Bombyx mori: one gene and its partners. The protein of the gene in region 3 purifies or fractionates together with the protein of the main gene of each other region. This does not show direct contact. Links are inferred from orthologs where the notes say so. Each region holds a gene or a part of one and is shown on either strand. Other genes may lie near its edges.

Region 1 (10,590 bases), on a different chromosome or scaffold from region 3:
CGTGTTTCCATTGTATTTAGTGAAAGTTCACGTATCGTAGGTAATGCACAAGTGATACATACGTTTTTCTACTTTTGTGGTATAACAAATGCACTAATAAGAAACTGAAAGTTTTTGGGTTGAACGGTGTCGTAGTACATGAAACTCTTCTAAATTTTCAGTACCAATTTCCTTAATGCCGCTGGCGAATGATAGAAATCATCATAAATAAACGTGCTCTTTTAAAAAAGTTGTGCGAATATTTTAGGTACTACAATGCACATTTATAAATAAGGATTTGATCAGTGTGCTTCTTCGATCAATAATTATTGATCGAAGGTGTGCTTAGTGCGAGTTTGTTAACGTTCTCGATAGCGTAAAAGTTAACTCTTGCATTGAATGGGATCGTTTGCGTACGTTTGCCGCTAGGGGCATTATTCCAGCTGCATACAAAATTGGCTTAATTTTACGCTATCGAGAACGTTAAGAAACTCGCACTAAGCACACAGTGACACTAAAAACGAAATTTGTAATCGAAAGCAATTCAGTACGTTCACACTGGAACGTAAGGAATTCTATTTAGTTACCTATAGGACGGTGATACCCACCATTGCCGATGCACAGTACACCTGAACTCGGACCTGAAGCTGACGAACTCAGTGATAAGGATGGGGTATGTTGCTAACTACTTACCGAGCGCTTCCGAAGAACGCCTAACAGTTCAAAGGCAGCTCCTTTAGGATGGTTAATTTGGATGATGTTACCACTACACACGAATTAAATTGCATTCTAGCTGTAGATGGCCAAGATCGTGTACTCGTATCCCCTAATAAATGTAACTAATAAATAATAAAATAATACACTAACCTATTGATTTTTTTGCCTAAATCAATCTTTCGCCTGTTGTACCTATAACAGCCCAAATTATATGGCGATTCTCGGAGCTGCGATATCGCGTAGACAATGGAAACATGTCCGAATAACAGCATTTTTGGATTATCTGTTTTGGACAATACAGCCTCGATGCGTGTCGCCCCATCGCGAGCCGCGCTCACAGACCATCCTTTCCTGTTAATTAATGTTTGCCTTGTTTTAATTAGTTCCCACATTTACACCATAACTAATTCTGATAATAATACGATAAGAGAGATAAATAATACAGCAAAGCTTTAGATAAATTTTAAAATAAGTAAGGACAAAATTAACACAACGATGAAAGAAACTTAAAAAACTCAACTTTACACCAGAATCATATTTAAAATATAATATGGTAAAAAGTGATTTAGGCTAAAATGCAGTTGCGACATTTCTCCCGTCGAAGATTTTCTCTATTAGTCAACACATTTACTTATTTTGTTTAATGTTGTCACCAAAAAATTTGGAAATTGTATTTTTTTTATCTAAATTGTCAATTAAAAAAACAACAGCGAAACTGGTACTGATGAGACCCCTTGAGTCCGCACGGGTAGGTACCACCGCCCTGCCTATTTCTGCCGTGAAGCAGTAATGCGTTTCGGTTTGAAGGTCGGGGCAGCCGTTGTAACTATACTGAGACCTGAGACTGAACTTATATCCCAAAGTGGGTGGCGCATGTACGTAGTAGATGTCTATGGGCTCCAGTAACCACTTAACACCAGGTGGGCTGTGAGCTCGTCCACCCATCTAAACAATAAAGAAAATATGTAATAGGTACATAAAATGAATCTAAAACTTGAATTGTCAGCGACTTATTGAATTTTGGTCAACAGACCAACGCTTGTGTGATAAAATACGAATCGACTAGTTTAAAGTTTACTTTTCATGACTGATGATTGAAAAACTGATTGATGATTGAGATTGAGTTATTGTCTTTATGAAAACTTTTAATTTTTTTCAATTAATTTCATGTGCAACTCATTTTTGGAAAACATTTGCTTTTTTTTGCATTTGCGTTTGCATAAGGGGTCACAGGGCCCTAGACATCGCATCGGGAATGTCGCCATCGTTCTTAAAACACAAAGTGGAAATCGTCTTTACTCCAATGGTGTCTACAGAGCCGGATTTAAACTTAATGTCGCTCCTGGGGACCGGAAAAAAATCCGCCCCAATACTGGAATTTTACCTAAAGTTGTAGTATAAATTAAGTATATTTTAATTTTCAAAATAACAATAACTACTTTATTGCAGAAACTTATGTTATATATTCCAAAAACATAAATAAATATTTGTTTTTTTTTTTTTCAAACAATTATAAATTTGGCACTAAGGGTGGGTCATAATTAATAATTTTACATAAAAAACTAATTAAATTTCTTAAATTACAGAAAATAGAAAAATCTATTATCTATTCATTAATACGTGAAGCAAAAACTGTATCCCTTTTTACAAAAAATGCGCGGATGGAGGAGTATGAAATTTTCCACATATAGAGAATATAGAGAAGTTCACAATGCTAACTTTTTGAAATAATGCAAGATACATTAAACCAATAAAGAAAACATTACACTACCATGTCTTTGACACAGTAACATATACTCTTAGTTTATTGTCAAACTTTTGTTATTATAAAGTCTGCAGTCAAATTGAGAATAGGCTAATATTGTTTATCTTTAATATTACGAGTATTTGTCTATAGTGTAGTCTGTTGAAACATATAATTTCAATTAATTATAGTCGAATCTCGACTAATGCGGGAACATTAGTTATTTTAAATTTCCAAGAAAATAAATTGATTAAATCATTTTGATTATTATTTTTTCCAAAAGTGCCAAAATTATAATTCACAAATAATGAATGAACTGAATTTGTTGAATTATCAATTAAACAGAAAATTATTTATAAACAGAAAATTATTAATAAATTGATTATATTGAGCAATATCAGACTAAAAAATATATTTTTATTTTCAAAATTTTGCCACCCTGGGCACTTGCCCCGACTGCCCCTAGTGTAAATCCACCACTGGGTGTCTACCCCACTTACTAAAACACTCAATCAAATCATAGGATTGTTGTTCCTATCAATGTGAATTTACCCCTACCACAAATTTGGGAAATTAGAAGTGGTAAACAAAAAGACATTTACAATTTCGGCAACAGAGCAAAGTTGCTGCCTATCGATTCAAGGGTTCATAAATAAAACAAATTTTTAGTTTATAAAATGTTTAATACTTTTGTTACATATTAAGATTCCAAGAAAATAAAATGCTCACGGTGCTGACGACACTAACACTAGTCAGCGCCAGACAAAACTAAACTATAATCCGAAAAAAAAAAGACAACTTTTTCAAAATACATTATCATAAATAAGACATTGTAATTATAAGACAAAAATATAAGACAAGCATTTGTGATCGGTCTCACTTCCCGTAGTTAAGATTATTAAACAAATAGTTAGCTAGCGATAGAAATTCTAAATCCTTTGGGACATAACTTGAAATTCTCGGCTGAACTGTCGATGAAATGTTGCCAGTGTCAAAATTTAACGTATTTCAGCAGTGCACACTCAATCCGTCAAAACAAGACTAAGTAATTTTTGAACATGATATTTGCTAAACTCATAAATCAAATATTAACTGATCGAAATATAACAATTCATATCGGTTTTCACATTACTGAACTTAGAACTGAAAGTAACATTAAAAATATTTTATTGAATTCCTGTGAACCTTGAATTAATGAAAAAAAAACAACACCGATGACAAACTAATTATCCTGACTGACAATTTAACTCACAATTTGGTCGGTTTAAACTAAAAAAATCAAATTGATATTCAAAAGACATAATATATTTGGATATTGGGATAAGGGTAAGAAAAAGATATTTTTTATGGCCCTTGTAGGCAGAGGAGAGCCCATGGACTTCAGCAATGCCAGGAGCAGAACCAGGCCGCTTTCTACCGTTAAGTTCTCTCCAAATCTATAAATCAAAGAGAGCACTGACCTGGAAAGTGTCTGGAAAAAGGAAGAGAGGCCGCCCCAGAGCAACTTGGCGTTGCTCGGTGGAGCAGGAGCTAGGGGTCTTGGGTATGACGTGGGAAGAGTTAGAACAGACTGCCCAAGACCGTGTAATTTGAATGACATCTGCTGAACTACGGTCAAGATTAGTCCCAAAAGCGAGCTTAAATGCTAATAATATTATGTAAGTTAGTTTTCTTGTGCGGCCATCTCGGCCGGCGCCGCGGGCTCGTTGTTCTTGTTCTTCTTGGAGCCCGACACGATGTCGTCGATCCTCAACAGCAGGATCGCTGTTTCGACGGCTGTTTTGTACACCTGCAGTACGAATTTCATTTTAATGTTATATCTTAATGTTTCATTTTTTAATAGCATAAAAGATTCGTCGTATTCATCGTGTATTCGGAGGCTAATTGTATCAGAGCGCCGCTCATGAAACAAACGAACAAATTAAGGAAGTGTTAGGCAACGGCATGGCATTTGTCATTTTAATAAGGAACGGTGATCACTCGCTCTTAGGAGGTCACCGGTCACCGTTCTCGTCGAACCAGTTGCTTGCGACGAAGGGCTTGACGAGTAAATTAACCCTCAGACACAGCCCACTGAGTTTCTCGCCGGATCTTCTCAGTGGGTCGCGTTTCCGATCCGGCGGTAGATTCTGCGAAGCACGGCTCTTGCTAGGGTTCGCGTTAGCATCGTCGTCAGGTTTGAGCCCCGTGAGCTCACCTACTAGTTAAGGTTACGCTGAAATAGCCTTTCAAGGCTCTCAGGTAGGTAGGTAAAAAAAAAGCTCTTAGGAGATCCGTATAGGCTTCGTCTGCGATAAAAATGGGAGAAAAACCTGGCGACCTATTTGTTATTTTGATATACACTATAGTAATTGTTATGAAGCGTTGGCGTTTTTTGTTTATTGTAAGTCATTATATGTATTCATTTTAGTTATATATTTTGTCTGTCTCATTGAATATGGCGTCTATTGCATACAACTTAAATAATTTTGATCCCTATTGACGTCTTGATGATAAAGCTATTAAGATCTAAAGTTAAGTTTCAATTGTATTGTAAAACGACCGCTTCAGCCTTCAAACTGGTACTCAAAACTGATTCGCGGCAGAAGTAGGCAGAACCGCGGTACCTAGCCGGGAAGGCTACAGTGCATAGATGCAGGATGGTGTGGTCTACGGACCTGCAGTTTAACGGCGAGCGGCTCCCAGATCCCCTTGACGGCCATGTCGACGATCTCGCCGGTCTCGCCGTCGATGCCGGCGGAGGCGAGTCCGGCGGCGTGGCGCGCCCGCAGCGCCGTGAGCGTGCGGATGGTGTTGGCGCCGCAGTTCTGCGCCAGCGTGCGCGGTATTATCTCTGCAACACAATTATACAAATTCGAGAGACTTTTTGGCGGGAACGCGAGTAGTGAAGTTGTGTGATTTGTTTTATTTTGTCTATTTAGTGTTTCTTCAGGTTTAAATGTGTAATAACGGTGGTTTATTAACTGTTTAATATCTGTGAAAGTGCACAAATGTGGGAAAATGTAACAAAGCCGCTGGACATAACTTCTCGGGATCCTCCAAAAAGTCCACTGGAAAAAATGTCAGTAAACGACCATCATTTTACTGAGATTATATTTCATCCCATATCATCTCATCTCATTTCATTTCATTTCATCCCAGTTGATCTCAAATTAATCATCTTAATTTTATTTCATTTCATTTCACTCCATATTATCATTTTTCATACAATTATGAATATAAATTAAAATAAGATATGACTTAAAGGTCTTAGTTACCAAGTCATAAAATCCCTTAAAAAATAAAAATAAAATACAAATTCTAATGGTCAGTTCAAGTTTTATGTGCCAACCGCCTTCAGTGCGAATTTTTTAACGTTCTCGATAGCGTAAAAGTTAACTCATGTTTGTATGAAATCGTTTGCGTACGTTTGCCGCTAGGGGCGCTGTTCCAACTGCATACAAAATTGGGTTAACTTTTACGCCATCGAGAACGTTAAGAAACTCGCACTAAGCACGCGGAACTCTGGCATTACGTAACGTTCTGAGCGCAGTGCAGCCTGCAAGTATTAAAATCTCTAGAGATTCATATTCTAAATATTAAACTTAAATTTTTCCTATTTACTTCTAGTATTGAAAAAAATCAGAATTATTGTTGTGTTCGCATTATCTACAATACAAAAATGTAAATATAATTTTATCATTCACTGATCGTAATGAAGTTCATAAAAATCGGCCATGATATTGGCAGAATATGCGAGGATCAAACTAAGCAGATTGATTAGATCTGTATATGCCAGTTGTTTTGAGGATCTTCCGCCTTTAAAGGTTTGAGTAAGGGTCATGGCACACTATGCAAGCACTGCAACGGCACCGCTTCAGCCCAGTGAATAATAGCTTGTCATTTGAATTTGATCCTTAAATCGTATGTCGTATAATATGTTTCGTAACGTCGGTTGCGATATCGGGACAGTGGTGGGGAAGACCCTAAATCACCTCGTGTATAATCAAATCGTAACCCGATTTTTATTGTTTACCATAAACTCTAAAAATCGCTGGGGCGAGCTCACGACGATTATCCCCACCACTGCCGTCCCGATATCGCCACTGATTTTAGGGTCGTGCGTAGGCCGCTTGAAGCTTCTTTCATAGCGCATACGTTGTTATGGACACGTTCACAGTGTACTGTACTATATATTATTAGCTAAGCATAGGTATACAGCGGGGTGCTAGTACCGAGCGCGGTGGCGACGGCCCTGTAGGGCGTGTTGTGCGCGGCGCGGTGCGACAGCGCGCTGGACACGGCCATCTCCGCGGCGCCGCCCCCCGCCACCAGCCGCGGCGACACCACCTGCACGCACAACATTATATTATAATCAATTTCAATACCATCATTATGTATTTGTACATGATGGATATATCGATATCATAATATGGGCAATTTAATTCTACCACTTCAAAAAATTCTGTAAAAAAAAAGGTAAAATAAACAACCTTTTTAATTATAACTAGCGACCCGCCCTCGCTTCGCTTCGGAAACATTAAATTTTATTATTGATAGGCGAGTCCCGCCATGTTTGGCGCGGTACGACAATAACTGCGGGTGAGGCCGCGGGGCGGAGCTAGTCTAAAAAAAGTAGCCTAAGTTACTCCTTATATCATCAGCTACCTATCCGTGAAAGTCCCGTCAATATCAGTCCAGTCGTTCCAAAGATTAGCCGGAACAGTCAGACAGACAGACAAAAATTGTAAAAAATGTTATTTTGGTATATGTACCGTATATATATTCATATGTATGTAGTAAAAAGAGGCTATTTCAATATTACAAACAGACACTCCAATTTTATTTATATGTATAGATATTAATTCTGCAATAGTAAGAAAATGAATAACAATATTAAACAACTTCATTTTAAGTACACAAAATAATTATATTTACCCTAAGTACTAACTAATAACGTATCTCTAGTATGAGTTCTGTTTAAAATCATTAGGACAGAATGGGCATTTAAAATAATAAATTAACACTTATATTTGTTTTGTATTACATTTTGAAAATCAATCATACTTTTAAATGTGGACATTTATTGGAATTACCAAATGTCTTAGTTCTCTCTTTTTTTAATCATACAATGACTTTATATAATTATATAAAATAAGAAAGATTGTATTTTTTTTAAACCAATGATTTCTTAATCGAATATACGATTCGAAAAAAAAATGCAAATTCATATACAGTAGATAGATAATGTGTCAATACACTTACCAAATTCTTGGCGACGTGTAAAGCGTCTTGAAGATTCCTTTCAATCTCATTCAGGACATCCTTAGAAGCACCACGGAGTAATATTGTGCATGCCTTCAAAATGTATTTTTAGATTATTATTCCATTTTATTTTACTCATTTTCTATATTCATTTTAATAGTTGAGAGGAGAAAATGCATATCGTTAAACTATTATTGTAATACTATGAAATTATTGTTAGGTATACTATTAATCACTCCAGGTCAAGGAGCAAGCGCAAGACAGGGTAAAGTGGAGACAACTTGTGAGAGCCCTATGTACTAGCGGGGTATCCTAGGACAACAACAACAATACTATTAATCAAGGTAATTTACGCTGCACTGTCCTCAGTAGGTCATTGATGCTCTTTTTTATTGTTTAGATAGGTGAACGAGCTCTCGTCTCATGTTAAGGGATTGCAACCCACAGACATCAACATCAATGTTGTCATCGTCCTTTATTATTTAACCAGACAATTTAACACTCACTGTTATCATGTTTGATGCATTAAGAATCGCCAAACATATTAAACACTGTTTAATAGTGAGTTTATTTTAAAAAAAAAGATGAAGTAGTAATAACATCTACTATTTAAGTGTTTGTGTGTTTTTCTTCCATACATTCTTAATGCACTTCTTCAATTGTTTTGAGACTTGGTAGCTGTAGCTGGTACTTCAGGGAATAATTATTTTACAGTACCAAGACATGACAGGTGGTAAGTGAATAGTTTCAAGAAATCTATGTCTTACATACAAGTAATGATAATCACAGCAGAATGTGAGCAGATTAGTGATTTAAATATAATTAATTTAGTACCTTGGGGTTCTTGCATTCAGTGACAAAAGTGAAATATTCATCTCCGATCTTCTTGATCTCAAACAGTCCAGCTCCAGTGCCGACATCGGATTCCTTGAGTTCCTCAGTACGGTTGACAATTGTTGCTCCACACGCCCGCGCTAGACGGTTGTTGTCCGTTTTACGGAGTCTAGAATGATTTTCAATTAATTAAACTGAGAAATAAAACTTTAAAGGTGTCTGCTCAATACTGTAATGGCAAATACAGAACTGAACTCAATAATTCTATCCAATCATATCGAAAATTTAGTTTATTGCTCACAAAGCGGAAATAGTTGATTGAATGTTAAGTGGTTACGAGTGTGTGAGTTTTATGATCTGCATAAACCTCAAACCCTCACTGCACCCTCCACATAGGTCATCTATCAAGTCATAGTCTCAAATGTACCAGAATGTACATGCGTCAAATGTACCAGAATATCTTTATAATCAGAAAGCATGGTGATTTACTGTGTTATAGTTACATTATTGTTACTACATTACATTATTATTACTACATTACATTATTATTACTACATTACATTATTATTAGACATAGTATTATTTATAGTTACAAGACATAATGATAGCATGCTCAAAATAAGAGATACCACTAGTTAGTGTGGTACTTACTACCTCCAAAAATGTGTTAAATTATTACTACCCTTTTATTAAAGCAGCACATCAGTCACAATGAAACAAAACAAAGAAGGCTTTATTCACATATTATACAATGTGAAAATACATACCTGCGGATAGCAGTAATTCCAGCCTTAACAAGGTAATGTTGTGCAAGATCTGAAACTCCCTTTTCGGTAAAGACAATATCTGGTTTAAGTGCAATAATTTCTTCACATTGACGCTGTACATGTTCCTCTTCTAGTTGTAGCAGTTTAGTGAAGTCCTATAATAAATAAAATCATGTTCGTTATGATCAGTCAAATTCTACATTCTAATCTATGTATATATATAAAAATGAATTGCTGTTCGTTAGTATCGCTAAAAGTCGAGAACGGCTGGACCCATTTGGCTAATTTCGATCTTGAATTATTTGTGGAAGTCCAGAGAAGGTTTAAAAGGTATATAAATATGAAAATACTCGGAATTAAATAAAAATAACTATTTTGTTTTTCCTTTGATGTGTCTTCCGTCGGACGGATTCCTTTTGTTTGTTTTAAGTTTATTTTATACAAAAATTTAGGTCTTTTACTTATAGATTGAGGCACTACGAAGTTTGCCGGATCAGCTAGTATTCAATATAATAAGTCTAGAAATCAGGAATTTTCCATAGACACTAACTACCCATTGGCAATTACACAACAAAAATTATTCACTGGGTATTGTGGCAACCACTTTAATGTCAGATCAGAAATTTAAAAAGACACTGCCATATCAACCATTGTTTTTATTCAACATACAAATGTCTTTGTCAGACATTGTAATATTCCATGTCACTTTGATTAATGTAACTTAAACTTCATGTAAAGATGGCCAATATCATAATGCATGTACTCGCAATGGAAGGAATTTCTCAATCTTTTTGTTTTTCGAATTACTCTTCTTTTTTTGGTTTAAATTGGCAAACCTACAACCCATGTCAGCCAATCAAATGTTGGCTAGGTGTTGGTACATGAATTCCACCACAAAGACATGAGGACATAGTCTCATTTGTATTGAATTAATGGGTCCAATTAGTAATTTTAAAGTATAAAACTTGCACAGTATTATTTACCTGTTCACCCATAATCTCAATGTTGGTCTGACTCTCTCCCTTTTTGTATTCAAGTGGGCAATCCAACAGGATAATGCGCGGATTTTCAATATACCTCCTCATCTTTGGATGGGTTACATCCTTGTTGAACATAACACCGCTGAGTACACGAGACTCTTCAACTGTGCCACCTGGGATCTTTTCCACTTTTGCATAACTGTAAATGATTTATTAAAATTGTATTTTGAGACATATGTGGTAAGTTTAAGAAGACAATGATAAAAAAATATATATTGTGTCACATACAAAATACTATCTTCATTTCATTAACTACGCAGATACT
Region 2 (11,186 bases), on a different chromosome or scaffold from region 3:
TTCTAACTCTTAAGGCTTCGTCAAACAGAACAGGTAATTAGCGCGCGTCAGAGCGCTAAACTGACGGCGCGCTATGACGCCGAGATGTGCTGTACTACTATGGTAACATACCGTCAAACAGAGCCCCAGCGCTATAAGTACCTACGCAACGCTCTGTCGCGGCTTTAGGACGCTTTGACGTCAGGCGTTGTAATTTTTTACAAATTTTATTTTAGCGTCCGAGTGAATGTGTATTAAAATACTGGATAATGCCCGAAAAGTTGATAGAAATAGTTAGGAAATACCCATGTTTATACAATGCCACATCTGAAACACTCGATATCTTAATACTTTTAAATTTTCACACTGCTATCGAAAGGCAATAATATGATTTGGCGAATGCGTTGCGTCAAGGAGCGTCGGGCTCGTCTAGTCAATTTGTCTGACATGAAAAGAGCGCGACGTTAAAACGCAGCGCTAAGTACGCGTTCTGTTTGACGAAGCCTAAGTCCGGTACGTGTTGTATCTGCTAATTTTATCTCCACGGGAACTAGAAAGGATCTTTCGTTAAAGTCTACGCTATGTGGAATCTTGTTGTGTGAACATCTCTTAAGCAACGATCGTTTTGAATACGCCTACATAATTAATTGTAAACGTCCATTTTTATATTTGTTATCATGACCATGCAGTCAACGTTAGAACGCGTTATTGCATCCATCTATTGAATTAGTTGTACAGTAATTTTATATACATATACGTATATATCATTAAGATTAAAAAAATATTTTCCCAATGAGATAAATAATAATTTAATTCTAATTATTTGATTTTAAGACAGCTATATTTGATTCGCACTCGTAATTTTGCACTAACAAATGATTATGATTAAAAGCAAGTTTAGGTGCACACGGGTCATTCATAATTTTCACTAGATGGTAGGTACTTAAAAAAAATATTATTCAACGCATTTAATTGCGAGACAATTTATGTCCTTGTCACACAGTAACCAACGTATGCTCTCTTACGAACAATAAAGAACTGATAGTTTTATTATGTACTCACAAAGTTTATATTTTAGTTAAATAAATATAGTTCAATAACTATTTTCACACATAATTGTGAGACACGTGTTGGATGCTTTATTTTTCTACCTAATTGTCTTTTGAATTTTTCATAATTAAGTGTCTGCAACCAGCTCTTAAGGTAGTTATAGTACAATGCACGTAGAAATAACAAATGCGCTAAATGTCTTCTTCGCCTTAAAATGAACAAGTATAGGTAAATTACCTAAAATATGTAATCTGCATTTTAATTGATTACGCATGTTAACATATCGCGGTTACTTGTGATTTGATGACATTTACGATTAATTTTTTAAATTTCAATCTGGTAGTGTACACATGCAGGACTACCAAAGTTCCAGTTTTTTATACTTTAAAAAAGATAACTATGTTACGCGTTTTTATTTATTCTTTTATAAAAGAACTATGTGAAAACTATTGTGTGCAATTTTGTTCAATTAGATTTATATTATTAAATATAGTAATTTATTATATCTGTATAATCACAAGTTGCTATAAATAGTAATATTGAGGTTTGATTACATGAAATGTTTAGTGATGTTTGTTAGTTCATAAATATACATTTATTAATTGAATGTCTAATGAAGTGTTGACTGGTCGGATTTCTGAATCTTAAGCCAGAAACAAAGTACACCATTTTTTCTATTGTGATCTTGTGTTATTAAGTTGCATTTAATGTTGTCGGTTTGTAATAAAACTCTTACAAAAACGATTAGATTTTATTTTATTTTAAATCTTAATAGTTGACAGTGAATTATTTTCTTATCAAATTATATTACTTAACTCACTACCATTAGTCTAGGAGCGATATTCATCGACATTAGTTCCTGGAATAGTAACTTGGCTGCATATGGTAAACGGATTTGCGAAATTTGAGTTTTGTTTTTGCAGCCTTTGCATTCAAATGTATTGTTACGCAAATTAGCTATAGCGATCAGGCCGCAGAAATTACACACGTGTATACGGTAAGGATCTGATACTTCAAATAAACGTTCACGTAAAAATTGGGCAGCTCCGTGTGCAATCTGACAATCACGTTCCATTTCACCAAAACGTAATCCACCATCTCTTGCCCTACCTTCCATAGGCTGTCTCACTAGAATTTGTACTGGACCTCTAGCTCTAGAATGAATTTTATCATCGACCATGTGCTTTAAACGTTGGTAGTAAGTTGGTCCCAAAAAAACTTGCGCATTAATTTTACGGCCTGTATGCCCATTGTACATGACTTCATTACCACGTAGATGGTAACCATAATCTTGTAACAGAGATGATATTTTTTGCACATTTACAGCATCATTGAATGGGGTTGCATCACCGATCTCTCCCTTATTAGAAGATACTTTCCCTTGAATACACTCAATCAAGTGACCAATTGTCATACGTGAAGGGATAGCGTGAGGATTAATAATGATATCTGGTGTTATACCTTCGCAAGTAAATGGCATATCTTCTTGCCTGTATTGAATTCCACATGTTCCTTTTTGACCATGTCGTGAAGCAAACTTATCTCCAATTTGCGGGATGCGTACAGATCTGACTCGAATTTTACAAAATTTATAACCTTCGCTATTTAATGTTAACATTACTTGGTCAACAATTCCAGTTTCACTATTACGTAAGAAAGTGGATGCATCTCGCTTTGTAAATCGTTTTGTTGTACCTTCCAACTCATCATCATTTTCTGGCAAAGTTATAGTTTTTCCTATGACAACATCATCACCTGATACTCTAATACCAGGAGCAATAATACCATCATCATCTAATTTGTCATACAGAGCATTCCTCATACCCTGACATGTCTGTCTGGTTGGTTTTTCAAACTGTTCTTCTTGTTCTCCATTTCTTTTAGATTCAGAATCTTTGTATGAACGGTAAAATACGGATCTAAAGAATCCTCTCTCTACAGCAGATGCATTCAAAATAACACTATCTTCTTGGTTATATCCGGTATAACAAAGAATAGCAACAATGGAGTTAATTCCTGCTGGCAATTCTCTAAATCGTAAGTATTCCATAGATCTTGTCGTAACCAGGGGTTTGTGAGGATAATACAAAACATGAGCCAGTGTATCCATTCTAACATGGAAATTTGTGATATAAACTCCCATAGCTTGTTTACCCATAGCACTTTGATAAGTATTTCTGGGACTTTGATTATGATCTGGGAATGGAATAATAGACGCACAGACACCCAGAATCATTGCAGGATGAATCTCACAATGTGTATAAGTAGTACAATATGCATATTCTTTAACTTGATTCAAGTCATCTAAACTCATGGCAATCATCACAGTTTCTTCTTCCAAAGTATCAATATATTCAACTACTCCACTAGCCACCAAATTTTGCCAACCATAGTTATTGTAGTCCTTTTCTTTTAAATCATCTATGTGCTTCTTTTTCAACAATAAGACACCATTATTGACAATAAGTAATGGCCTACAAATTCTACCTGCATCTGTATAGATTCTGATTTCTCTGTCTCTTATATCTCTAATCATACTGACTTCAGAGACAATGATGTCCATATGACGTCTTAGTTTACGTAGTGTAGCCATCAACTGTTCAGGGTCCCTGTGTATTCCTACCCAACAACCATTCACAAATATCTTTGTGGCATCAGCTATAGCTGATGGTGCAATTTCTTCCAAGTTTTCCATTGACCATTCTTCCAAGAACTCCAAAATTGGTGAAGGTTGACTTCCTACTGAGATATAAGCCATTAATGCTAAATTCTTCACTAAGCCAACAGCAGCTCCCTCTGGAGTTTCAGCAGGACAAATCATACCCCATAAAGTATTGTGCAATTGACGTGGTTTAGCAAGTTTACCATCACGTCCAATTGGAGAATTGACACGTCTTAAATGGGATAAAGTAGATGCAAAAGTTAATCTGTTCAACACTTGAGATACTCCAGCTCGGGCCTGATGAGCTTTCTTTTGGTCACCCCAATTACCAGTTGCCAAAGAATAACGAAGACCATCAGTGATGATTTTTGTTTTGATAGCAAGTTCCAAGTTGAAATCTTTTCCTCTATCAATAAATTTTTGAGCATACATTCGGACTTCTTTTAGTAAATTTTTGAATAAGCCTCTAAATAGAAAAGCCAAAAGTGGTCCTGCTAAATCTAATCTTTTGTTGCCATAATGATCTCTATCATCCAGTTCTCTTCGACCCAAAGCAGCTAATAATAATCTGTGTACCATGTAGCCTAGAAAATAAGCTTTTTTTGTTTCACAAAAATCTGATACTCCAACATGTGGCAACATTTCCTTTTGTAAGATTTCTCTAGCATATTTAATACGTCTTTCTTTGGTGACACCTGGGCGTGCTCCTCGGCTTCCAATAAAATTGAGTGCTACATTTTGTTCTTGAATGACAAAAGCCTCATCAAGAGATGGCTTAACCATTTCCATCATTTCTGGATCATCAAAATCATATATAATGTGTTCCAATATATCTCTATCAGCAACAAAACCTAAAGCTCTGAATACAATCATTATAGGTATGTCTTGTTTGATATATGGGACAATTGCCATAATTCTTTGACCAATAGCAGATTTCTTTATATTTTGTCCTCCTCGAGCCATCATATTAACCCATAATGTAGATGTCGGTCTAGAACTATGTTCCAGACATGATCTTATTTCTGTTTTGTAAGCATATTTGCCATCCTTCATGCTGAATACATAGACAGTATTGGTAGCCATTTTTTCCTGTGCAATTAGTACTTTTTCTGATCCATTAATAATGAAGTAACCACCAGGATCTAAGGGGCATTCATTCAATTCTGACAAGTCACGGTCAGTCAAACTGTTTAGTAAGCAATATGTAGATCTAAGCATAATAGGAATCTTGCCAATAAATGTTTTCTGATGTTGCGTTTCAATAGGATCCTCATGTTCTTTCTCTATTGTTTTTGTAATATCAACATATAAAGGTGCCGAATATGTTAAATTACGAAGACGTGCTTCATTGGGCATCATGGGAGATGGAGCTCCATCTTTCTCCCAATGAGTAGGTTTAGATAAATAAATTTGGTCAAATTTAAGACGATATTTTGGTGGTGTTTCCATCTCACCAGAGAAATGTTGTGCTTCTGCTTGTAATTCTATGGGTGGAGAATCTTCAACTATACGTTGTACCGACATTTGAATAAATTCATCGAAGCTATCTAATTGCTGTCTCACTAGACCTTTTTCATCGAAATAAGCGTTGATGACAATCCAACAAGCTTCTTGCCAAAGCTCAGGTGTTATTTCCACATCTTCCTCTTCGTATTGATCATCTTCTGTATCATACATCTTCGCTAAAGCGAGTGTTGTATTTAAAAAATATACTGTAGGCTATTAATGGCCTTTCTGTATTTTCAATTGGAAAATATTAAAGCAAATGCGTCGTCGTCGCCTTTCCTAGGCTCTATTATCTATGGTAGCAAATATCATAGATTAAACACATGCAAATATTATGTGCTTAATGGCTCAGTGAATTTAGCCCCCTTTTTTATTTTGGATTTTTTTATATTTGTTGGCGTGAGGTGATGGTTTGCTTATTAGATATAAAATAATTAATAATTGAGAATTCAATTGTTTTTATGATCGAACAATCACCAATAGTCGTCAAACAAACGATAATTGATCAAAATTAATTAATCTGAGTGATAAAAATAAAGATATCTAGTAAAAGGAGCCAACTTAATGTGATCATTTGTTTAATTAATTATAAATAAATAAAAGACGAACAAAGATTTTTTACATATGAACATTAACGAACAAACAACGGACAAATAATTAAAAATAAAAAAATTTGAAAATCAAAAAAAGAGGGGCCAAATTCAGTGTGCCGTAGGTATAGATCATACACTTAATATTTAAGTTAGTAGGTTATGGCTCTGTAAATTTGGCCCCCTTTTTTTATTTTCGGATTTTTTTTATTTTTAATTATTTGTTCGTCGTTTGTTCGTTAATGCTCGAATGTAAAAATTGTTTGTTCGTCTTTTGTTTATTTATAATTAATTAAATAAATGATCACCGTTAAGTGGGCCCCTCTTACTAGATATCTTTATTTTTATCGATTAATTCATTTTAATTCATTTTGATCAATTATCGTTTGTTCGATGACTATTGGTGATTGTTCGATCATAAAAATAATTAAATTCCCAATTATTAATTATTTTATATTAATGTAATACCGAAATACTTCACGAGATGGCGTTACAAAAAATCCCTTCCCAAAACTATAAAACCGTTGTGATTGTCTACTGAATAGATAATATAATAAATAATATTTATTCGTAGGTGATTGTTTAAGATGTTATGAATATTTCAGTTTTGATTTCATCAAAATAACTTGAACTTTACTACTAAATTCCGAAAAAAATTTTAATTAAGGCTGAGTTAAATTTAGCTTTTTATTTAAGCCTCTTACTGTAGTTTTTGAATTACATTTATGCAGATTGACGTTTCAAAGCTTTCAGATTTCAATTTTAAAATCTGAAATAATTAAGAACAGCGTCATCCACCGTTCACATTTGAAACAGAATTTAATTCGGTTTAAATTTGTAAAAGTTGATGTTGATTATTATTACACTAATTAATTGAGCGTTTCATTAGCTTTTAAGCTGAGTGACTATATACTAGTAATATATTTTTATTCTATTGTCTATTTTTGTTAAGTAATAAATGAGCAAAAAATAATACTTAACTAAAAGATATGAAATCCGAACAAAAACAGTTTCACTGTAAAAAATTGCGCCAAGTCCACGTTTATAAAACTCATCTCAATAACATTTGCACTTTACAAAAAAAATAAGACTTCAATAACTTTCATTCTCTACAAAAAGATGTGAAATACAAAAAAATACCAAGAAACTCCTTACTCGAGTTTTCACCACAATTTAAGCTTGCTCTTCATCATCATCATTTACATCAACTTCGACTGGTATGTGTCATGCTGGCAATTTTCTTAGCCTATCATGTGGGTATTTGTAAGTAAGTTTTGAATTTAAAGCTTTCAATGTGTAACGGTCACCATCCAATACTTCAACTACTTTAAACGGCCTTTTAAACTTCGTATCTAATTTCGTTTGATTACGCTCTTCGATTTAATGTGTGGACGAGCTCACAGCCCACCTTGTGTTAAGTGGCTACTGGAACCCTTAGACATCCACAGCGCAAACGCACCACACACCTTGAGATAGAAGTTCTAAGGTCTCAGTATAGTTACAACCGCTGCCCCACCCTTCAAACCGAAATACACCACTGCTTCACGGCAGAAATAGGCAGGGTGATGGTACCCGTGCGGTCGATGGCACTCCATAGAGCACCCGTCTAGTGCCACGTCCGTACCCACGAGAACGTCGCCGCGCTGCGACGCCGGCAGCGCGCGATCGCAGTCAGAGTTATTCGAGGATACCTCACAGTCTCCTACGAGGCGGCGCGCCCTAGCGCAAGTGCAGCCGGAGCGCGGGGGCTCCAATCTCGGCAGTCCGTGCTGGAGGCGTGGTCTCGTCGTTTGGCGGACCCGTCGGCCGGCCTCCGTACCGTCGAGGCGATCTGCCCGGTTCTCGCGGACTGGGTGGGCCGCGACCGCGGAAGTCTCACCTCCGGCTACCTGTGCAGACTCACAAGACATTTTACCACCATGCAAACTTCTTACCGCAACAAATCTTATCCGCCACTACGCAAACTACAATTTTACGGGTTCCACCTCTCCTATCATCTCAAGTCTTCGGTTTCAGGTCTTCGACACAAAACATTAAGTAAAATTAAATATTGTCCAGTCCGTACATAAACAATAAAAACCTAAATGTCGTTGTTTTTAGTCTTTAATTTTAAAGTAATCTGTTTGTAGATGGGATAGTCCCAAGATTAGTGTGGTACAGATTGCCCATAGCTTGACAAGCTTGCCCAGCACCAGTTACACCAGCCCCGCATGTGTGGCATATACCTGTGGAAGTTAAAAGTAAGTGATGTTTAAACGAGTACATTTGGTTTATTACAATAGTAATTATGTAACATGTTGCTCTCACTCTCATTTATCAAATGCCAATTTAATTTCATGCCACTAATTTCGTAATGTAAATTCGCCTTTATGATTTTTTACCTTTATTTTTATGATTTAGTACCAGCGGCTAGCTCCAGCCGCCTGCACCAGCCGCTTGCACCAGCCGCTTGCACCAGCCGCTTGCACCAGCCGCTTGCACCAGCCGCTTGCACCAGCCGCTAGCTCCAGCCGCTTGCACCAGCCGCTTGCACCAGCCACTAGTAGTACGAAAGTAACACGATTACGAGAGATGCGCAGTAAACGAAGAAACGATGCGTACTAAATGTTATTGTTTAAATTTTATTATGAACGACTGGAGGGTAGTTCGCGGACTGTGCCACCGTTCACTTCAACGTCTGCTTTTTAACTAAGTAATAAATAGTAGTAGTGGTTAAAGTGTGATAAAGTAGTGATAAATAAAGGAACAATACTAAGAACCACAGGAACAAATGTTTTCTTATTGAAAGAGTGCGTAAACAATACAAAATCTATAAAAATATCAAGGAACGCGCAACTGACATTTATATCCATTACTCTAAGTGTAAATGATCTAAAACTCGTTAAGTGCAGTGAAGGGGACATAAATAATCATTAAAATCGTTAAATTGTTAAATAGTGAACACAAGGATTCTATTTAATTTATTTTTTGCATTTAACCTAAAATAAATATTATTCGCATCGTCACACAAATCACCTCGTACAAAAACGTTAGCGCCACCTAGCGTGAGTAGCTGAACTCTCAAGATAAAACTCGATAAACTGGAGATAACATCTGCTATAAGCAACGTAGTTCCAATACTATCCACAAGATTGTATTAGTAGTACTTTGAGGTATAAAAGTAATGGAAGAAATTAAAAATATATTAAGAAGCATGCAAGAAGAGATGAAACAACAAAAAGCGGATATGTTAGATATGAAGGAGGAAATAAAAAATACCATTATAAATAATATGAATGAAAAATTTCACAGTCTTGAATTAAAGACCGAGTTACTTGAACAACAATTAATTCTAATTCGGCAGAAAAAACAGATAACATGGAGAGATTGAAGAGAAAGAGAAATCTGCTCTTTTTCGGAGTCGAAGAAGGTGAAAGGTCATATCAGGATCTGTTGCAAATTGTGCTAGAAATTATAAACAAATATTTAAGCATTGAATGCAATGAAAACAGTGTTGAATTTGTAAGGCGAGTTGGAAAAAGAGGGGAAAACACGAGACCCATTGTAGTAACATTGAGCACTATGGGGTTAAAAATAAAATTACTTAAAAATAAGAAAAAACTGATATCATCACCGGTTTACATAAAAGAAGATTTCCCCCAAGATATACTAAAAAAACGCAGGGAGCTTCAAAGCGATTTAATCAAAGAAAGAGAATCCGGAAACAGGGCAATCATAAAATACACAACTTCACTCCTCGCGTTCCCGCTCAGACACAAAGTGTCTGTCGGACTTTTTGGCTACCCTGCCGTGAAGCAGTAATGGCTGCTGGTGCTAGCGGCTGGTGCAAGTGGCTGGTGCTAGCAACATGTGATAGCGGCTGGAGCTAGCGGCTGGCGCAAGCGGCTGGTGCAAGCGGCTGGTACTAAATGCTGGCGCTAACGGCTGGGGCTTGTTGCTGGAGCTAGCGGCTGGTGCTAGTTGCTGGAGCTAGCGGCTGGTGCTAGCGGTTGGGGCAAGTGGCTGGTGCAAGCGGCTGGAGCTAGCGGCCGGAGCTAGCGGCCGGAGCTAGCGGCCGGAGCTAGCGGCCGGAGCTAGCGGCCGGAGCTAGCGGCCGGAGCTAGCGGCCGGAGCTAGCGGCCGGAGCTAGCGGCCGGAGCTAGCCGCTGGTACTAAATCATAAAAATAAAGGTAAAAAATCATAAAGGCGATTTACATTACGAAATTAGTGGCGTGAAATTAATTTCGTGACATTAGTTTTACCAACAGTTTCACGTGTAATTTAATACTTTCGTAATGCATGCATTAATTTCATGCATGGAAATTAGTTTCGTGCCCTACGCGATTTTTTGGTGAAATCATGCAACTAATAGTGTAGACGCGACGTGAAACTAATGTCGCGAAAGGGCCTGCGCTGTGCGGACGTGTGTATTGTTAGTTCGGACGCGCTTCAAGCGTTGAAAATGGCAAACCAACGATGGAGTACAGATAAAAATATCAGCGATAGAATATCAGCGACAAGGGTGTCTCTGGGACCCGAAACACCTACAGTAAAAAAGCAAAATTATATTCACTCATTCGATAATAGTTTTTATAGCTCTCAGGATCTTCATCTGCTAATTCAGAGACTAACTTCATTGCACCTGAATGCCTTCTTGTTGATCATCCTCGAATCTAATAACTTTTTTTCTTGATAGTCTTTTTTTAAGTTTATAGGTATATAAGCATTTCTTTAGCTACATTGAATATAGCATATAGCACAGAATATAGCTTTGATGCTGTTGGCGCCATGGTTACTGCGATACTGTGGATTTCGCGACACTAATTTTTTGACGAAATTACTTTCGCATATATCGAAACTACTTTCGTGAAACTGAGCTCAACATGCATGAAACTAATTTCGTAATGTAAATCCCGCATAAAGGTAACATATATCATAACTCGAAAACTATCAAAAATCGCGGAACATACATGGGGGTGATTCGGATACCCCACGACACGAGAGACCTAAATTTTTTTTTGGACGTATAGGTCGAACCTGTATTTTTTTTTTTTTTTTTTTTATTGCTTAGATGGGTGGACGAGCTCACAGCCCACCTGGTGTTAAGTGGTTACTGGAGCCCATAGACATCCACAACGTAAATGCGCCACCCACCTTGAGATACAAGTTCTAAGGTCTCAAGTATAGTTACAACGGCTGCCCCACCCTTCAAACCGAAACGCATTACTGCTTCACGGCAGAAATAGGCAGGGTGGTGGTACCCACCCGCGCGGACTCACAAGAGGTCCTACCACCAGGTTTACTTAGAACATGCTCACGAATGACTTTGATTATGAAGGAATATCGTGTTACTTAAACGAAATTCGCAAAAAATATAATTTACGTAATTACTAACGGTGGAGGGCTCTGTGAGCTCGCA
Region 3 (11,453 bases):
TGAACAAATCCGTTTGAAAAGTATTGATGGAAGATTTAAAAAAAAAAACATATAAATGTATATACAAAATAAAGTATCAGGACGAAGACAATTTAAGTATTTATGTTTTAAAGTACACCTTCAAAATGAGGCTGTCAACGCAAAAGTGGCTTAACCCACAATTCATATTCATGCTTATGTATTGTGATTTATTTAAAACATAATAAATTTTGATGCAAAAGTTAGTTTCAATCCATAGATAACAGATGACTTTGTAAACATTATTTTATCACGTTTTTTTTTGGCTACGAAGTATTGTAAAGGTAAATTCGAACCTCATTATCTCCATACTAACTATGGTAAGCTTAGGCCACTTTTGTGCTGACGTCCTCAAATAACACTTTTTTTTCTTCTAAAATCCATTGAAAAGCCACTAAATTTCTATTTTAAATAACAATTTTGTACCTTATCATCCGTATGAAGAATTGTAGCGTTTTTAGCTTTGGCGAGCAGTGCGTCCAGATCTGTGTGCTGTTTGTCGAGACTCCGCAGCGCGGCCTGCGCTTTAGCGATCCCGCTGCGTACCACTTCTAGTGCCTTGCGGTTCTTCTGTTCGGCAACGCAGCTCGACAACGACCATTCTTGTATTCGTTGTGGGAGCACCTGAATTAGCATTATATTGAATCAATTGACACCAGGCATTCCTCATATAACTATGAAATATAGATTTGTCATTTAGGTGCTGTTCCAATACTAGCGACCGTCTTTAGCTATTAGGCAGTAATCAAACCAGCCAGGAATAGAAAGTTTTGAAAAAAAAAGGAAAAAATTCTCACATGTCTGCGAAATACAAATGAAAATAAAAAAAACAAACTTGGTATATCCGGGAAGTGGCGAGCCTTATCCCGCACTGTGAGGAGCAGTACTTCGAGGAGTACCGAGCGGGCAACGTGCACTGCGGTCCGTAGCACTGACGCGCATGCGCCGTCTGTAGATGCGCCAACGATTCTTCTGGCTCATACGGTTCACGTTCATGATGCTTCTTCTTTATTCTGCTACTGCTGTTGTCAATTTCATTTACAATTTCAAAATCCGTCAGTTAACTCCAATACTTTTATTTCTACTTATTGCTCATACATCAGTAGAAGCTCTGAGTAGTTCCATTGAAGTATGTCAGATGGCAAGAGTATTGTTTCAACAGAATATGACATAAGGTTGTTATATTATGTTTGTAGCTTAGTTACAGCAAAGCAGAGCCCTTTTAACAGTTATATGCGGAATCAATAATATTACATTTTTAAAATCTAGCAATGCTTACCTGGGTGGTTTAGAAGATTTTTTACTTTTAACACAAACTCTCAATTTGCACCTGAACTTTTTATTAGCACTTCCATATTTGAACATCTCCTCACATGCATCACAACTGCAATGAAAACCATTATAGTGATCATACATTTCTGTACGACAAAAGAACAATGGGAAAATGTTTGGAAACAATACTGTTATGAAATGAAACAAAAGATTGTATCTGTTTATTGTATATGTAAATTTTCTTGAATTAAATCTAAATATTTACTTTAAATGAACAATGTTTGGGTACAATTCAGTTAACTTAAAGTGTAACAAAAGAAATCCAAATTTTTGATCAATATTTATATCTTTTAATATCAATTTGTAAAAGTTAGAAATTTATATTGATTAAAGCACTTTTTCATGTAGAAAAATGAGTAATCACTATATATACACTATATATACATACTTTGCATTAATTCATTTCTTCAAAATTACTATTTAAAAAATTACAAAGTGAATGTCTGTCTATGATCTATTGATAGCAATAGCATCTTTTTGTAGTGCTGTTGGTAGATACTGCAGTAAAAATCCGATAAATGGGGCATGAGGTATACTCACTGGCCACAATCGTAATCTTGTAAGCAACCAGGGCAATCTCCACAACCATCTTTTATTATAGTTCTCTTGGAAGATTTATTTTCCGAATGATCCTTTTCTTTCCGCTGCTTTTTTCGATCATCTCGACCTACAAAAGAAACACGGTACAATAACAAAAACGTTTTATGTTAACTTTTATTTTTTAATGGCTTTCGGTTTCTAGTTTTATTCAACCAATATGTGAGTCACGGTTCAAATTGATTGAGAGATAAAAATCAATCATACTTCATACATCTATTTTAAGGTAATGCAATGCTAGGATTTAAATTTTATTATGCAGTCCTATCATACAATACTAATAAATGTAGCAGTATAGAAAAAACTAGACAAAAAAAATATTTATACCAGAATCAACCTCGTTTTCTCTTTTTTGTGGTCTGAACCTTGTCTTCAAAGTCGGATCTTCCTCTCTACATCGGTCACAGAAGTAATTCTTGATGTACTTTGATTCTCTCTCAGAAATGTTGATACAATCACCATGATACCATTCCTCGCATGCATCACATGCTCTGAAAAAAAAAAACTTTTTTACTGTATACCTAAAAGGTTTTAAATAATAGTTAAATATCAGCAGAATATATTTCAACTACTGAGTTACATCAATGTGGCCAATTGAACAACCACTGTCTCATTGTCACAGCATACAAGATTCAGTATGATTTTCAGTCATCAAATTTCCTTTATTTACCTTTTACTTACTTTTTGTAATACTGTAACTGTGATAAATTTTAAGACATATCTTAAATGAATTGGTGTTGTGTCATTCTTAGTTGTGAACTCAACATCAAATCTGTATATATTAATTAGAATACATTTAAAAAAATGTTTTGTTTCCAAATACAATTTCAACCAATTACAATAAAAAAGTTGAAATCATAAATGCCCAATCTTAGAAATCTTAGAATTTAACAAATCTAGAATATTCTAATGATAATTATCATCTAAATTGTGTACTGTCATAATGAAGTGTGATCCAAATAATGACCACATCCAATGTAATGATCAAATTTTTCATAAGTAAATATGATATTATAAACGTGAGCTTCGATTTGAAATAGTTTAAATTGTACTTATTTTGTATTTGTTATATTTATTATATGTGAATATAAAATTAGATTTGTCAGAATAAATATAAAATATTCAAAATATATAAGCCAATAGTGTAAGCTGTTCTATCACTTTTAACAATGTGTTTGATTTATGCTAATCAATGATGTTGATGTCTATCCATTTAATAATAAAAAGATACATGTCGAAATTCATTCAAATACACATCATCTTACCAACATCTTGCTAATGAAGTTGTATTAACGCAATGGTGAGTGTAGTGTTGTCTAATACACTGCAGCATTGTATAAAATCAAATATATTAGGAAAAACTTACATCATAAATCGCGAACTATCCGAAGATCGACAAATGCAGTACGCTTGTCCAGCTTGATTCAGCAATGTTGTAATTTTGGATTGGCGTTCAGGCAAGTCGAACTGCTTAGCAATGTCCGCTTTCTGGAGCAAAAAGATATTATTTACTAGATACATTTGATTTCTATAGGATTTACATTTCACTAACACTTACAGATTGTCTCGACTTTTTATCACCCATTGTATTCCCTTTATTTCAAAACCGATTCAATGACACTAACAACTGCTAGCACCCAAGGAAGTTTTTATTTTTTATTTAACAAATTTTATTCTTTTTTCAAATAAATAACTTCATTCATTCTTTAGACTCGTAATTTTTTTTTCAATTTTCTTTTCATTTCCTCATATTTTTAGAAAGTTATTGAAATATAAAGTTTGGCCACAATTTTCCAAGCTATAAAATTGTCGTTTGACACATGGGATAATCAAAGTTGAGAATTTGATTGAATGGTCTGTTCCAAAGACAAAAAGGGCCCATAATGCCAAGTCTATTGTAACAAAAAATCGAACTGAAGGACGGAAAGTGATTTAAAAAAGAAGAAAGATTTTTCAGAGGTTTTAATCAGGTTAAAATTTGAAATGATAATTCAAGTATTAACCTTTTAGTGTCTCTAAAACTTATGAAGGGTAGAAAGAAGTAAGGAGCACCATCTTGAGTAGGGGAGAAGCTGAAAAATGTTAGAAGATTACTGGTGGTAGTACGTCTTATGAGTCCGAACGGGTAGGTACCACCATCCTGCCTATTTTTGCCGTGAAATAGTAATGCGTTTCGGTTTGAAGGGTGGGGCAGCTGCTGTATTGTTCCTTACAACTCATGTCTCGAGGTGGGTGGCGGCATTTACGTTGTAGATCTACGGGCTGCCGTTACCACTTAACGCCAAGTGGACTGTGAGTTAGTCCCCCATCAAGGCTTTATAAAAAAGAATAACTAAATTAGCGCTAGTCTAGGAAATGGAAATGATAGGAACATGGGAGGCTTAAGCAGAGTGAAGTGTGCTGGGTTGAAAATTTAATATTTTTTGAGACTTGCGTAAAATATTATATGGACTTTTTGGCGGGAACGCAAGAAGTGAAATTGTGTGATTTGTTTTATTTTGTCTATTTAGTGTTTCTTCAGGTTTAAATGTGTAATAACGGTGGTTTATTAACAGTTTAATATATGTGAAAGTGGACAAATCTGGGAAAATGAAACAAAGCCGCTGGACGTAACTTCTCGGGATCCTCCAACAAGTCCGCTGAAAAAATCTCAGTAAATGAATGACCACCACCATTTTACTGATATTTCATCCCACATCATCTCATTTCAATTCATTTAATTTCATCCCAGTTGATTAATGTCTCAAATTACCTAATCATCTTCATTCACTCCATAATATTTATAATTTTTCATAAAAATAAGAATACTAATTAAAATAAGACATGACCTAAAAGTCTTAGTTACCAAGTCATAAAATCTTTTAAAAAAAGCAATATTATGTGGCCTATGATGCTGTTGCCTAGCAACCAAAAACCAATGCTGTCTGTCACGTTTGTTTTCGCTAAAGATTCGCATAAACCTTTGAATATTTCTTTTATATCTATTTTTAAGTCATGGAAGAATTGAATACCCCCCAAATAATTACCCATATTGAAAATAACTTAAACCATTCACTATTTGATTGCAAGTGGATACCATGTTCGGCTAAATTTATAGTACTTGGTTCTTTACCGAAAGGCTCGGGTACCATTGAAATATTTGAAATAAACGCCGGAGAAATTAAGAAAATAAAAGAAATTGAGAGGTCTAACTCGTTTAAATGTGGAACGTTTGGAGCAAGTAGCGACATTGAGAGACGATTTGCTACTGGAGACTTTAGAGGCACTTTGGAAGTATGGTTTGTAACAAAATCATAAAATCCATACTTTTTCCGGATAATCATAAAAATCGAATGTTAATAAATAATTTATTTTCTATAGGGACTTAGAAAAAGGTTCCCAAGTGTACATAACAAAAGAACATTCAGATATAATTAACTCAATAGATGGGATGGGAGGTAACACAACCAACTGTGGAGCTCCTGAAATTGTAACTGGCAGTAGAGATGGTAAGGTTTCATGCCAAGGATTATCCTGTTACATTAAAGGGTACTCGTGTGGTGATGAGTAGATTTTCTAAATCAATATTACAATACCTTCTAAGATTTGACTACCATTAGCCATGTTGACATACTGGGATAGTTTTTTTTTTATCCTCATCAGATTTTGATTTTGTCCAAAATATTTACAAATTTTATACACAAACCTTTCTCACACTTCTATTTATATCTTTGAAAATAGTATCAAAATTTGTTAAGTCATTTAGAATAAGTAATCAGAGAAACAGACATTGGGTTTAAAACTCTTTAGGAAAAATAAAAATGGTAGTGATAACATAATAATTACTGAAATTATAGGAACAGTAAAGGTTTGGGATCCAAGGCAAAGAGGTAAACCTGTTGCAAACATGCAACCAATGCAAGGTGAGACTAGAAGGGATTGCTGGGCTGTTGGCTTCGGAAACTCATTTAATGATTCTGAAAGGATTGTAGTTGCTGGTTATGACAATGGAGATCTTAAAATGTTTGATTTGAGAACAATGTCACTTAGGTGGGAATGTAATTTGAAGAATGGAGTAAGTATGTAATTTCAAGACTAAATTTAAGATTTTTATGTCACAACTCGCAATAGGCATATTATACAACATGCATGATAAAAAGTTGTTACTGAAACCTGTTAACATCAGTAAATACAGGGTCATTACTAGTTGTATAGTAGCAGTAGTTATTCACTTTAATCTTGTCCTAAGAAAGATGTGTTATATTTTTCAAAAAGTCACAGTAGTGGGGGAGGGAGTTCATTTTAATTTTAATGTGAGTAATTATTTAAGAAAACATCAACACAATTGAAGTAAATAAATTCAGTTAATCTCGAAATTTTTATCATTATCTCAACTGGTACTCTGATGAACAATGACTTGTTATTATCTGTGTGTGTTTTAATTCTTTGTAGTTTATGATATATCCTAAATTAGCTTGATAGGTTGTTTTGCAATAGAGATATATATTTATATAACTGGTGGTAGGACCTCATGTGAGTCCGCACAGGTAGGTACCACTACCCCGCCTATTTCTGACGTGAAGCAGTAATGCGTTTCGGCTTGAAGGGTGGGGCAGCCGTTGTAACTATACAGAGACCTTAGAACTTATATCTCAAGGTGGGTGGCGCATTTGCATTATAAATGTCTATGGGCTCCAGTAACCACTTAACACCAGGTGGCCTGTGAGCTCATCCACCCACGTAAGCAATAAAAAAAAAAATATATATATATATATATATTAAATTATATCTAAGTCAAAATTAATAGATAAATATTGAAGAATTTTTGTTTGTTTAGGTATGTTCCTTAGAATTCGATCGTAAAGATATTCCAATGAATAAATTAGTGGCAACCACACTTGAAGGGAAGTTTCATGTTTTTGATGTGAGGACTCAAAATCCAACTAAAGGATTTGCTCAGGTAACCTAATGTTTTACTGACCAGCAAGGAATGTCTTTGAGAAATAAATATGAAGATTGCATGCAATGCAGAGCATTGTTAAATTTGAATTTTCCTACCCCTGCCTTATCTATTTTTACCACCATTAAATCACATGTTCTGGTGTATACTATAGTACAGCTGTTGTTCCAATTTCTTTGAAAGTTTATCTACTCTATGTATTTGGCAGAATTCTTCACATTGCAGTGTCTGTTATCTCAGCAATAGATGGGCTGTATCTCTATTCATCAGAATCCATGGACCTTAATATATTAAAAGCACAATCTATAGTTACATCAGTTAATTTAAAAGTCGTCGTGGCCTAAAGGATAAGACGTCCGGTGCATTCGTATCGAGCGATGCACCGGTGTTCGAATCTCGCAGGCGGGTACCAATTTTTCTAATGAAATACGTACTCAACAAATGTTCACGATTGACTTCCACGGTGAAGGAATAACATCGTGCTATAAAAATCAAACCCGCAAAATTATAATTTGCGTAATTACTGGTGGTAGGACCTCTTGTGAGTCCGCACGGGTAGGTACCACCGCCCCGCCTATTTCTGCCGTGAAGCAGTAATGCGTTTCGGTTTGAAGGGTGGGGCAGCCGTTGTGACTAATACTGAGACCTTAGAACTATATCTCAAGGTGTGTGGCGCATTTACGTTGTAGATGTCTATGGGCTCCAGTAACCACTTAACACCAGGTGGGCTGTGAGCTCGTCCACACATCTAAGCAATAAAAAAAAAAAAAAAAAAAAAAAAAAAATAATTACCGTTCTTCCATAATATTCATGAAACAATGCTGCTCTTAATAAACTAAATTTATTAAACTAAAAGCCATACGTTTTGATTTTGAGTGATTAATTAATGTTATAGGTTAATTTTTAAAAATATATCTATCTCAATATATCTGTGTCCAGGTGGTGGATAATTCAACGAAGAGCGGTACGATATGGATTGCGCGACACATCCCTCAGAACCGTGACTTGTTTATGACGTGTGCTGGTAATGGGCAAGTCACATTGTGGAAATAGTAAGACTTTGATTTTGCCTTATGATCAGTTCAAAGTAGGACTTCCCGGTCATTGTTGCATCGGGCATCTACTACTGTAGGTTCATAGTTATAGTATAAAAATTATATCAGAAGCTTTCGTGTAGAAGTTTACTATAACTAAACATATATTCAATTGCATTGTACAAACACCGCGCAGAAGTATAGAAGATAAGCATTTTTTTATAGAAACTCAGGAAAAAGCAACACACGGTCATCTGTGTGCTTAGTGCGAGCTTTGTAACGTTCTCGATAGTGTAAAAGTTAACGCTACTTTGTATGGACTTGGAACGTCTGCCTACGTTTGCCGCTAGGGGCGCTGTTCCAACTAATTTAAGTTAACTTTTACGCTATCGAGAACGTTAAAAAACTCGCACTAAACACATTGGTCCCAAACATTCCTTGTTCTATGGCTACCAGATATACATACTTATTTAAATAGGTACTTCATAGATGTTAACCATCATTAAAGAGGAAACAAATCTGTTCATCATACAAATGTGTGTCCGACTCTGAGTCAATTAGCGATATATTAAATAAAGCGAAGAATAGATGGCCGGTAGTATGCCAGTAATTTCAACAAATCAGAGAGACGTATTCAACCAATAATTTCTCGCCGGATCTTCTCAGTCGCGTTTTCGATCCGGTGGTAGATTCTGCGAAGCACTGCTTTTGCTCATAGTGTTAGCAACGCCCCCAGGTTTGAGCCCCGTGAGCTCACCTACTTGTTAGGTTATGCTGACATAGCCTCCTAAGGTTATCAGCTTAGGTAGGAAAAAAAGAAAAGAGACGCATTATAACTGTTTAGCCGGCTTAGCGATATGTTTTGTAGCAAAGCAAGGTAGAGCTTCTACCTCTCTTTATTTTTGGCGTGGGTTACAATACACAATTCGTTTGTTACAGTGAATACCCGGTACAGAGGTTCCGGGTGGACACCGAGGGTGTAGCTATCGGAGTTCCGGGGAAGCTGAAACGTCTCCAACGCATGGTGGTGAGCTCGCAGCCGATCAACGCTCTGGAATGGAATAAAGACCACTTGGGCCTCGCCGTCGCCACCGCATACGATCAATGTATTCGAGTTCTGATCACCACTAAGTTGAATCTGCAGTGATTTGCTTTAGAAAGGCCGTTTTATTTGAACAAAGAAACGCGATTATTTTTGGCGTGTGGTCGGCAAACAGAGTCAGTAAACAGAGCTGGGCTGGCCAAGACCGGCCCCAGAACCCACACTGACTACAACACAGATGCCGTTAGCTTACAACACCCGAAGACAGTTCACGTTTCGATGGTTTTGGAATTCATTATTGTTTTTGCATTATGGGGTGAACGAACGGTTCGCCTATTGTTACGGGAGCCCATACACATGGCACCTTGAGACATGAGGTCGATGTCTCAGAAGCTTTGTATTACTACTGTCTCACTCTTCTAACTGGAACAGATATCTGTTCATGTTGTGGATGTAAGTAATTTAGTGTGGAACTCTTGATCTGATCAGACAATGTATTTAATATGTGCTGTGAGTATATTAAGTTGCTTAAGTTGTAATTTCATATGTTAATAGTAAATAATGATACTTTAGTTTTATTGTTTCTTTTTACGTTATTAAATTTTTTTAGTTATTACGTTTTTTACTGATGATAGGACCTCTTGTGAGCCCGCAGTGGTAGGTATGCCTATTTCTACTGTAAAGCAGTAATGCGTCTCGGTTTGAAGGGTGGGGTAGCCGTTGTGGCATACTGAGACCTTAGAACTCATCTAAAGGTGGGTGGCGGCATTTACGTTGTAGATGTCTATGGGCTCCGGTAACTACTTAACACCAGATGGGCCGTGAGCTCGTCCACCCATCTAAGCAATAAAAAATAAAATTATTGCGCATTAGGTATTCACTTGTGGCTTGTTATCGCATTTGAGATTGAGCACGAATAAAATTTTCAAGATCAATGTGAGGCTGGAAGAGTTTAAGACTGGCATCCCGTTAAAACATGAATTTCCTTTGTTGTTGTCTGCATCTGTGCAAATATTAATGGTTCTCCTTCGAATCGTCTTCATAACTGAAATATTCTCGAAAGTTAATTCAGAGCACAGCCCTCTATGGGTGACTTGTGCTTGAAGACTGGCGTAGGTTGGCCCTCAAAAGTTGGACAAACGACTTGTTGAAGGTCGTGCAAATCTTCTGGTTACGGGCGACACAGGACAAGTCATTGTGGCGGAGGACCTTGGCCCATGTTCAGCACTCATGTCCTTTTTTTTCCTACCTATGCTGATAGCCTTGAGAGGCTATTTCAGCTTCGCCTTGACGTGTAGGTGAGCTCACGGGTCATAAACTGGGAATATTGCTAACACTTGCCCTAGCAAGTGCAGTGCTTCGCAGAATCTACCACCGGATCGGAAACTCGACCCACTGAGAAGATCCGGCGAGAAACTCAGTGGGCTGTGTCTATGGGTTCGGCGCGGACGGTGACCGGGCACTGATGTGATGATGTCTATAGGCCGATGGGATTGAGATGGTCTTGATTTTTTACAAAAGTACCGCACTTTTTTACAAAAGAGATCAGGTCTAATAACGTGCGGGTAACGGTATATTGCGGTAGTAATTGTCACAAAAAATGTAGAGCAACAAATCCCACGCATTATGCATATTTCCTTCACGTTCATATCTGTTCTCATATTTGAAGATCCGACAATAATAACAAGAGTCAGTGCCGATAATTGAAGAAAAATATAAGAAAATAATCATCACGTCTCCGTCTCAGCGGTTTCTTCTTGCGCTACCTTTCTCTTTCGGTACGCGGGTGCGCGAAATATGCAAATTAAAATGTATTACATATTTTCAAACATTGTTAGGAAAACCGCGTGCATAAACAACAACATTAAGGTAACCGGAAGACAAACACCAAGTGAATTTTCTAACTCAAAGGAGCAATTTATTATCCTAGCACATAGGTATTATAAATAAAATTAAGGCTAGCAATCAGTTCTTATTACCGTAATAATAAGTTTTAAAATCGATCATTTGCGCTTTAAACGTAACATTGCAAACGCACATTACAAACAGATTTCAATACTGCTGGACATTTTGGTATGTACACACAAAACGACAGCTATTTCTGTTGTTTCATTGTATGCAGCATACATTAGGTTATCACAATGTTAGCTCAAAGCGCAAAGACGCTACATAATTAATTATAAGCGTAACTACATTGTCCACATAAATCTCAGTTTCTAATCAAAACTAATGATAAACATTCAATCATCGTAATAGGTGAATTAATTAATTAAACAGTCCATAATCGCGTCGTAAAACAAAGAATCACAAGATTTGAATAATGCACTTTTTATTAGCAGTAAGAAGCGTATTGCGAGTACGCGCGAGCGGGTGCCGCAGTCCCTCCTTTTGCTCCGGTTCGAGGGCGGAACTTTGATTCTTCGATTTCATGTTCTGATGTCTACAAGCTTCTGGTTACAAGGTAACCAAGTCGGCCACGAGCTCGCCGCAT

Evidence for each region.
Region 1: the proteins of dynein axonemal assembly factor 10 (region 3) and T-complex protein 1 subunit gamma purify together in Homo sapiens (affinity purification with mass spectrometry; 3 studies listed by BioGRID and IntAct, counting the BioPlex papers as one, with this or other methods). This does not show direct contact. The link is inferred for Bombyx mori from reciprocal best matches to the Homo sapiens genes DNAAF10 and CCT3.
Region 2: the proteins of dynein axonemal assembly factor 10 (region 3) and DNA-directed RNA polymerase II subunit RPB2 purify together in Homo sapiens (affinity purification with mass spectrometry; 3 studies listed by BioGRID and IntAct, with this or other methods). This does not show direct contact. The link is inferred for Bombyx mori from reciprocal best matches to the Homo sapiens genes DNAAF10 and POLR2B.

What each region holds. Positions count from the first base shown.
Region 1 is NC_085127.1:10,943,110-10,953,699, forward strand, and holds the end of T-complex protein 1 subunit gamma, read right to left. Parts: intron 10,465-10,590; coding exon 10,269-10,464; intron 9,441-10,268; coding exon 9,286-9,440; intron 8,688-9,285; coding exon 8,519-8,687; intron 7,778-8,518; coding exon 7,685-7,777; intron 6,770-7,684; coding exon 6,655-6,769; intron 5,274-6,654; coding exon 5,098-5,273; intron 4,230-5,097; coding exon 4,104-4,229; 3' UTR 3,103-4,103; downstream 1-3,102. UniProt on the Homo sapiens protein: Component of the chaperonin-containing T-complex (TRiC), a molecular chaperone complex that assists the folding of actin, tubulin and other proteins upon ATP hydrolysis.
Region 2 is NC_085110.1:13,225,605-13,236,790, reverse strand, and holds DNA-directed RNA polymerase II subunit RPB2, read right to left. Parts: upstream 5,509-11,186; 5' UTR 5,369-5,508; coding exon 1,841-5,368; 3' UTR 1,767-1,840; downstream 1-1,766. UniProt on the Homo sapiens protein: Catalytic core component of RNA polymerase II (Pol II), a DNA-dependent RNA polymerase which synthesizes mRNA precursors and many functional non-coding RNAs using the four ribonucleoside triphosphates as substrates.
Region 3 is NC_085131.1:9,115,518-9,126,970, reverse strand, and holds dynein axonemal assembly factor 10, read left to right. Parts: upstream 1-4,839; 5' UTR 4,840-4,941; coding exon 4,942-5,225; intron 5,226-5,307; coding exon 5,308-5,435; intron 5,436-5,783; coding exon 5,784-6,001; intron 6,002-6,763; coding exon 6,764-6,886; intron 6,887-7,825; coding exon 7,826-7,938; intron 7,939-8,859; coding exon 8,860-9,067; 3' UTR 9,068-9,575; downstream 9,576-11,453. Other genes in the region: CXXC-type zinc finger protein 1, read right to left, coding at 445-642, 854-1,040, 1,298-1,402, 1,891-2,017, 2,275-2,438, 3,314-3,435, 3,506-3,532. UniProt on the Homo sapiens protein: Key assembly factor specifically required for the stability of axonemal dynein heavy chains in cytoplasm.